2 linked regions of the Sus scrofa genome follow. The protein of the gene in region 1 purifies or fractionates together with the protein of each later gene. This does not show direct contact. Links are inferred from orthologs where the notes say so. Each region holds a gene or a part of one and is shown on either strand. Other genes may lie near its edges.

Region 1 (3,802 bases):
TATGATGCAAGACTAAGACAGTAAGAGCAAGGGAGAATGCGACGACCGAGAAGGACGAGGCAACAGTGAAGCAAACCAGCCCTCTTCTTGCCTCGCGTAGTTCATCGACTATCGAGAGCACACAGGAGGGAGCTCCTGTCGTGGCGCAGTGGGTTATGAACTCGACTAGGGTCCACGAGGATGAGGGTTTGATCCCTGGCCTCGCTCAGTGGGCGAAGGATCCAGTGTTGCCCTGAGCTGTGGTGCAGGTCGCAGATGTGGCTCGGATCTGACCTTGCTGTGGCTGTGGCGTAGGCCGGTGGCTACGGCTCTGATTTGACCCCTAGCCTGGGAACTTCCATGCGCTGCAGGTGCGGCCCTAGAAAGCAAGGAAAAAAAAAAAAAGAGGATTACACAGGAAATCTGGAGAGATCACCTTGGTAAACTTTTCCTTAGGCTTTCACTGAATTCAGTGGAGAATTTTTCATGTCTCCTCCATAACAGGGAAGAGAGCGACTGACGGAGGAAGGCGTCTCGGGCTCGGGGGACAACCAGAGGAGGACGTGGAGCAGCAGAGCTGGGCCCCACCTAGCGATGCTGCAAGACTGACCAAAGGAGAGGGGGCTCCGGGGGTCCTCGGCGACACCCCGGCACTCGCCACCCTGGGCGCCCCGAATCACAGATTGCTGAACGGACGGGCGGGTCATTTCATTAACACAGCGAAACCTCCTTAGTCCCGCTGCTCTAAGGCTTCTCCCCAGAGCCTGGGACTCAATGGGGCCTTGCTAAATAAATGATGGCATCAAAGAAACCTGTGGCTCTGGACCCACAAGGTGCTGGGGTCCTCGAACGGGGTGACCCCCTGGGGCGAGGAAGCCTCGCCTCCCTGGAGCACCTGCCTCGCCCACATCAAAGTGGAGCCAGGGATGGCGCCACGCAGCACAAACTCGGTTTCAGCAGCGGACCTACCAGTGTCCTCGACCCCAGGCTGGAGCTCCTCAGCGCCTCCAGCTCCTCAGTCATCTTAGAAGCGAGGGCCTGAAGGTAGCCCCGGGCATCCTTCTCGTCGCTGACCCTGCGGGAGGAACACCCTCCCGTGAGCGCGAGGCGCCTGGGCGTCCCGCCCCGGGACCGACTGCACAGCGCCGTCACCCCATCGCCTGTGACAAGCCGGCGCCGTGTGGGCGAAGGCCAGCCCTGGCCCCGACCCACGCCCTCAGTCCAACGTGACGCTCCTGGACAGGGCTGCTGCCCCAGACGTCACGCATCCGCGGCGCACACGCACCACTGAATGATCTCTGCGATCTGGGCTTCCCAGTGGGCAACCGACTCCTTCTTGGCCGCCAGATCCTGCAGCTCGTCCTCCAACTGCCTATTTTGAGCTGTGAGCTTATCCACAAAGGCACAAAGCTGAAATCAAACAATTGCGGCACGTGACTCATTATCTGGCATCCTTCATACACGAGATGTTACCATTATCAAAACTACAAGCTTTTTCTGAATACCTGAAACATTTTTAAAAAATTATTATGAGATTTTTCCAAACTAAGTTTCCAACGTGAACTTTCTGATCACATCTAACTTAAGTCGCATTTCAATACAAGAGCGAGGAGTTCCCATCACGGCGCGGCAGAAACAAATCCCACTAGGCACCATGAGGCTGCAGGTTCGATCCCTGGCCTCGATCAGCGGGTCAAGGGTCTGGCGTTGCCGTGAGCTGTGGTGTAGGTCACAGACACAGCCTGGATCTGGCGTTGCTGTGGCTGTGGTGTCGGCTGGCAGCTACAGCTCCAATTGGACCCCTGGCCTGGGAACCTCCATGTGCCACGGGTACAGCCCTAAAGACAAAAAGACACACACGCACATACAAAAAACAAGAGTGAGTGGTTTCAGATAGTTAGCATAACCCAATGGAAACACCCCACTTAAAAGATCAAACATGTTTCATTTAAAAATTAGAGTGTTGAAAACACGAAACTTCTAAGACTCAAGAATGAAAAAAACCGCTCAGCGGCGGTTCAGATCCCTCGAGTTACCTTCTCGTTCTCAGCAGTTAACTTCTTGTTCTCCTCGGACAGCACGGCCCTCTCGCGTTCGTATTTGTCCTTGACTGTGCCCACGGCCTCCTCCAGCTCACTGTGCCTGGGAAGCAGAGGGCACAGGCTCAGGAGCCCGGCCCGGCCGGCGCCCTCCGGGCCCCGCGCTGTGCGGACTTACCGCTCCCGCTTGGACTTCTCCAGCTTGTCCTTCAGCACCAGCACCTCCTTCTGCAGGGCCAGCTGGTGGCCCTCGGAGTCGTGCACCTCCTTCTTCACGGTCTTCAGCTCCAGCACATGGGAGGCCTCCCGCCTGACCAACTCCTCCTCGTAAAACAGGACTTTCTTCTCGAGCTCAGACTTTATCCTGGAAATCTCCTGCTGGTGCTCCAAGGCGGCGCCTGGCCCCCGGCCTCCTTGCTTCATCTGCAGACAGGGGTCGGGGTTAAGTGCACACCTCCGTGCCCGCCCCGAGGGCCGAGGGTCACCCACCACCTGGCTGCATGCGGGCTCTTGCCAGCACGGCTCCTTGTGCCCCCGCCCCACGCAGGACAGGCGCCATGCCAAGGCCGCAGCTGCCTCCGTCTCACGCTCTGGTACCAACGGTCCGCGGGGTCCCCTTGGGCTGTTGACCCGTTCGGCCAAGAGGGACCTTCCCAGGGCTGAGAGGCAGGCCCTCCGGAAAGGGTTACGGGCAGTTAGGGGCGCCGCTGAGGCGGTGGCACAGGAGGTGAGCTGGCGCCAGGAAGGGCTTCAGCGCAGGGAGGGGAGGGGGGTCAGGGGGCCGCAAGGGCAGAGGCACTAGGTGGGCGTCAGGGGGGAGAACTGGTCAGGGAGATGGGGTGAGGCCAGCGAGGAGGAAGGGCCACCAGGTAAGGAGGCTGCTGTCACTGGAGGGCGGCAGGGAGCCATCCGGGCCCCGTGGACACGCTGGGCTGACTGGGGTTTAACAAGCCGCGGGGAGAAGGGCACTGCAGAGGGCAGAGCCCGACAGGGGGCTCAGTCACAGGGCAGCCAGTCCGGCAAAGGCTGCCGCGGTGGAAGCAGAGCTGAAGAACACAAACAGGGGCCTCGGGTGTGAGCTGGGGGATGGGCCAGGTGCAGGGCTCGGGGGGGGGGGGGGAGAAGACCCACTGTCTCCACCGCACGGATGAGGACCCGAGGCCCAGAGAGCGGCCCCCGTATCTGACGTCTTGCAGGGAACAAGGAGCCCCCCCCCTGCCCACCCCCCCACCCCCTGCGGCCCCAGACGACCAGGCTGGACATGGGCTGTGAGGAGCTTTTCCAGAAATGGACTCCACTGAATGCAGAAGCCCCAGCTGCAGAGAAAGCATTCGGTGTCAGCTGACCAGGACTTGCCTCAGGCTGCCTGAGACACTCATCCGGGGAAAGACCTCAAAGAACCTGTTTTCTTTTTTTCTGTTTTGTCTTTTTAGGGCCACACCTGCAGTACATGGAGGTTCCCAGGCTAGGGGCTGAATTGGAGCTGTGGCTGCGACCTACACCACAGCTCACGGCAACGCTGGATCCTTAACCCACTGAGCAAGGCCAGGATCGAACCCGCGTCCTCATGAACACTAGTCGGGTTCATTACTGCTGAGCCATGACGGGAACTTCAAACCTAGTGTCTAAAAGTGAAAAGCTGGTATGAGCTTTCACACCAAGTTCATGGCCCATCCCCAGCCTGCCCCTTCCGGAGCCGCCCCGAGGGAGGGTGCGAGGCGCTTAGGGCGAGTCCCACATGGTGGACACTCTCTCAGGAAGAAAAAGGCCGAGCAAGGCACTAC
Region 2 (3,902 bases), on another chromosome or scaffold:
AGCAGGTGAGCACTGTTATGGGTTGGGCAGGGGGTGTGTTGAGTCACGCTCAGGAGGAAAGGAGACAGGTGTGCAGCAGCACAACATCTAACTTTTCCAGCCCACTTCTCTGTCTTTTCCTTTCCTTCTGCTCCTGCACCTCTCCAAATCCAAAGACAAGTGTGGAGGGGCTTGGGGGGAGAGTAGGGAGGCCCTGGGCTTTCACACATGACCATGCAAGAGCTGACACCTGCAGTCTTCCTAACTCATGTTGACAACTTGACTCTCTGGAGCAGCTCAAACTCTACAGACCGAAGGTAGAGTTCCTTCTAAACCCCTGGCCCACTTCCTGGGTCCTCCTCCTTCCGGGTCCTCATGCCCACCACTCTCGTTTAACCCCTGCTCACCCCCTTTGAGGTCTGCATCAGAATTTGCCTTTTTCCTTCCTTTCTTCTCACCCCAATCCAAATCCCAGCGTACATGTGCATATTGAGCCTTCCCAGTAAATCCTAAAGGATTTCCTATGAGTGAGAACTCCCCCACCCCCTACTCTGTCAGCTGGGAGCAAATAGCTCCAATGATCATTCATCATCCACCTTTGCAAACAACTCTCCATCCCAGGCAAGCAAAGAGCCCTTTCCAGAGAGAGAGCACTGCTCCTAGAGGCTTCTGGGAATTCCAGACGCTCCTATGGCACACCAAGGGAGTTTTCCACCAGCAAAATTTACCTAGAGAAAGCTGCCTGCCTGTGTGAGAAGCCTAACAAGCAGTTTCTTGTTGGTTGGCCTGGGGCTCAGTGGCTCTCTCTCTCTCTCAGCCATAGTGAGGCACTGCTTCAATTTACTTCCCTGCCAGCATCCCTCCTGGAAGGATGCCAAGCCTGTAGATAGGGAGGCGGGACTGTTAATTCAGTGGAAATCCACGCATGTAATTGGGGAGGACAAAACAGGAGCCAGTGCATGAGAAGTTGGGGTCTTTGGGCAGGCAGGGAGGAAAAGGGGGCGAGGGGGGGACCCTTCTCTCGGCTTCAGGGGAGCCTGGCTGCTTTCTGGCTCCACAGGGCCCTCGAGATGGCAAGGGACATTCCCAGGTCACAGGACAAGCTCTGCCACACAAGCCTCTTTTCCTCTGGGTCTGACTGGTTTCTCCCCTACCCCCAGGCCTCCTGGCTTGGATCTCCAAAAGCAGCCCCCCTTTGAGACCACTGTCTTATGAGTCAGGCACGTGGAGCTGAATCTCTCAGCTCTTTCACCAGCCCCATGAGCTGCACCGCGTTACTGAATCTCTTGGAGAGCCACTGGCAAAATGGGGGGCATAATGTCCCCTCAAAGGGCAATTGATTGTGAGGATAAAATGACCAGTGGGTGTGAAAGGCTCTCAAGCAGTGCCTGATCGGTAAACACAGTCAGGGAGGAAGAGCTGTCATTCTCACACACTTGGAGTGCAGCTTGTGGCTGCTTTGCCAAGTGCCTTATACACACGCTAGCGGAAGCTCCCATCCTGTGGATGTGGGCTGGAGGCGCCACGGCCCCCCTGCCCTCCCAGGACTCTGCCCAGCTCTCCACTCTCCATCCCCTGCCGGGTGGGGGCGGGGCAGGGCGGGGCGGTCTCCAGGGCAAAGGAAAGGAAGCTGCTTTAGAGCCACGCCTCCCTTGGGCGCTGGGAGGATTGCCCTATGGGATTCACCAGGAATGGCAGCAGGGAGCTGGTGGGAACTTAATCTGGGAGAACACGCCTGTGAGTTTAAGACTGGTGGTGGCCCCTGGTCCTGGAACTAAGCAGCTTCCAGATCTCAGCAGGAAAAAGGGATGAAAACATATAAAGGCAATAGGGAATTTTTTTCAAAGCAGAACTCTCAACCTGATTGGGGCATGGAGACACCTGTCCCTTTGCCTCGGGCTGCAGACCTTCCCGCCTTCTCCTAGTGACCTGGGTGCCCAACCACAAAGCTGTCCTGCTCTTTCCTCAGGGCCCTTCCCGCTGGGCAGTTCCCTTTGACCACACTGGCCTCAGCCCTTCCCGGCACTTCTCCTGAGTTAGGGGTTGCATCCTTGGGGCAGAGACAACCACATCACTGAGCCTAAAGTGGACAGAGGGGACGAGGTGGGCTTGGAGAGAAACCGAGTGGGGTTCCTCCCTTTCAGACATCAAACCCCAAATCTCTACCCAGATTTTATCCCTTAGCCAGGACCGGAGATGGACTCCAGCCAGGCTGTCCTAACCCCCTGAGAGGAGCCAGCCCCCAGGAGAGGGTGAGGCAGGGCAGGAGTGCGGGCGGGTGCAAGATGTCCAATCCAGGGCTCATTGGGGTGGTGCGCCCCCAGCCCAGGGCTGGGCTGCTCTCCACCGCTGCCAGCTCTAGGGACCTGTGGCACCCCAGCCCCCACCTGTGATGGTGCCACGGCCACAGACACATCACCCCCAGCCCGGTCCCCAGACCTGGGATTGTCCCAGCTCTGCTGCAAACCCACCTTCCTGGTGCTCAGAGGCCCCTTCTAGGGGTGTCACCGAGATCCCCGCTTCCTCCTTTCGACGCGGGCTCCCGCTCCGCAGCCTCCTCTGGCCCCGGCTTCAGGGCTGAGCCGTATTCTGCCTCCCTTTCTCTCTTGCTCTTGTTCCTGTGAATTCTCAGCACTATTCTTTTTTTTAAGGGACTTTTTTTTTTTTTTTTTTTGCGTTGCGTCAGGGCGGTTGCCTGGCGACGGCGGAGCTATTCCACCGCTAGCCCTTTGAGTCGCTATCCCCTCCTGCCTCTCATTCAAGTCTCCCCGCCCGCAGCTCCGGGGACCAGGGACGCGCCGGGGCCGCGAGACACGCCCCGGGTCCTAAAGCCCTTCTAGCTGTTTGTTCCTGGCCAGGACCTGCGCGCCAGCCGCCGCCCCGCCTCAAGTAGAAGCAAACCACACGCGATGGCCAAACCCTAGATGAAACCAAACCCAAATAGACTTAAAAAAAAAAAAAAAAAAAAAACCAAGAACCAAGAAACCAAGGCAGTTTTCACCCAAGAGTGGCAACGTGGCTTTGCCACCGTCAGCAGTTTGCCTGCGGGGAGCGGGCAGGAGAACCCCCTTCCAGCCGCGTCGGCAGGCCCAGCGCCTTCATTCCACCCACCAGCAGCTTAAGTTCCTACTACCAGCAGCAAAGCTCCTACTGAGGGCCCCACCATCACAGCGACTTCGCAGGGCAGATGTGGGTGTCCCCAGTTTACAGATGAGGAAACTGAGGCTCAGAGAGACTAAGTAGAAATAGATGCTCTGGGAGTTCCCGTCATGGCTCAGCGGAAACGAATCCGACTAGGAACCATGAGGTTTAGGGTTCGATCCCCGGCCTCGCTCGGTGGGTTAAGAATCCAGCGTTGCTGTGAGCTGTGGGGGTAGGTCGCAGGCGAGGCTCAGGTCCCGCTTTGCTGTGGCTGTGGCATAGGCCGGTTCCTAGCCTGGGAGCCTCCATATGCAGTGGGTGCAGCCCTAAACAGCAAAAAAAAAAAAAAAAAAAAAAAAAAAAGAAGAAAGAAAAGAAATAGATGTTCTGGAGTTCCAGTTGTGGCACAGGGGAAACGAATCCTACTAGTATCCATGAGGATGGGGGTTCGATCCCTGGCCCCTCTCAGTGGGTTAATGATCCAGAATTTTTGTGAGCTGTGGTGTAGGTCACAGTCTCGGCTTGGATCCCATATTGCTGTGGCTGTGGTGTAGGCTGGCAGCTTCACTCCTAGCCTGGGAACTTCCACACGGCCCAGGTCATGGCCCTAATAAAAAGAAAGAAAGAAATGTTTTTCCAGATCTGTCTCCCAGACCAGCTGGGAGGTAGGGGGTTGGGGGGGTTGCCCGGCCCCAGAGCATGTGCTCGCCCCACTAACCACAGCTTGCCTGGTGGCACAGAATACTGTGTGCTGTGTCAACCCATAGAGATAGTTGTCCCTG

The links.
Region 2: the proteins of CDC42BPB (region 1) and FAM167A purify together in Homo sapiens (co-immunoprecipitation; 3 studies listed by BioGRID and IntAct, counting the BioPlex papers as one, with this or other methods). This does not show direct contact. The link is inferred for Sus scrofa from reciprocal best matches to the Homo sapiens genes CDC42BPB and FAM167A.

What each region holds. Positions count from the first base shown.
Region 1 is NW_018084979.1:1,675,513-1,679,314, forward strand, and holds part of CDC42BPB (serine/threonine-protein kinase MRCK beta), read right to left. Parts: intron 2,442-3,802; coding exon 2,197-2,441; intron 2,122-2,196; coding exon 2,016-2,121; intron 1,390-2,015; coding exon 1,265-1,389; intron 1,055-1,264; coding exon 949-1,054; intron 1-948. UniProt on the Homo sapiens protein: Serine/threonine-protein kinase which is an important downstream effector of CDC42 and plays a role in the regulation of cytoskeleton reorganization and cell migration. Regulates actin cytoskeletal reorganization via phosphorylation of PPP1R12C and MYL9/MLC2.
Region 2 is NC_010456.5:14,664,711-14,668,612, forward strand, and holds the start of FAM167A (protein FAM167A), read right to left. Parts: upstream 2,785-3,902; 5' UTR 2,451-2,784; intron 1-2,450.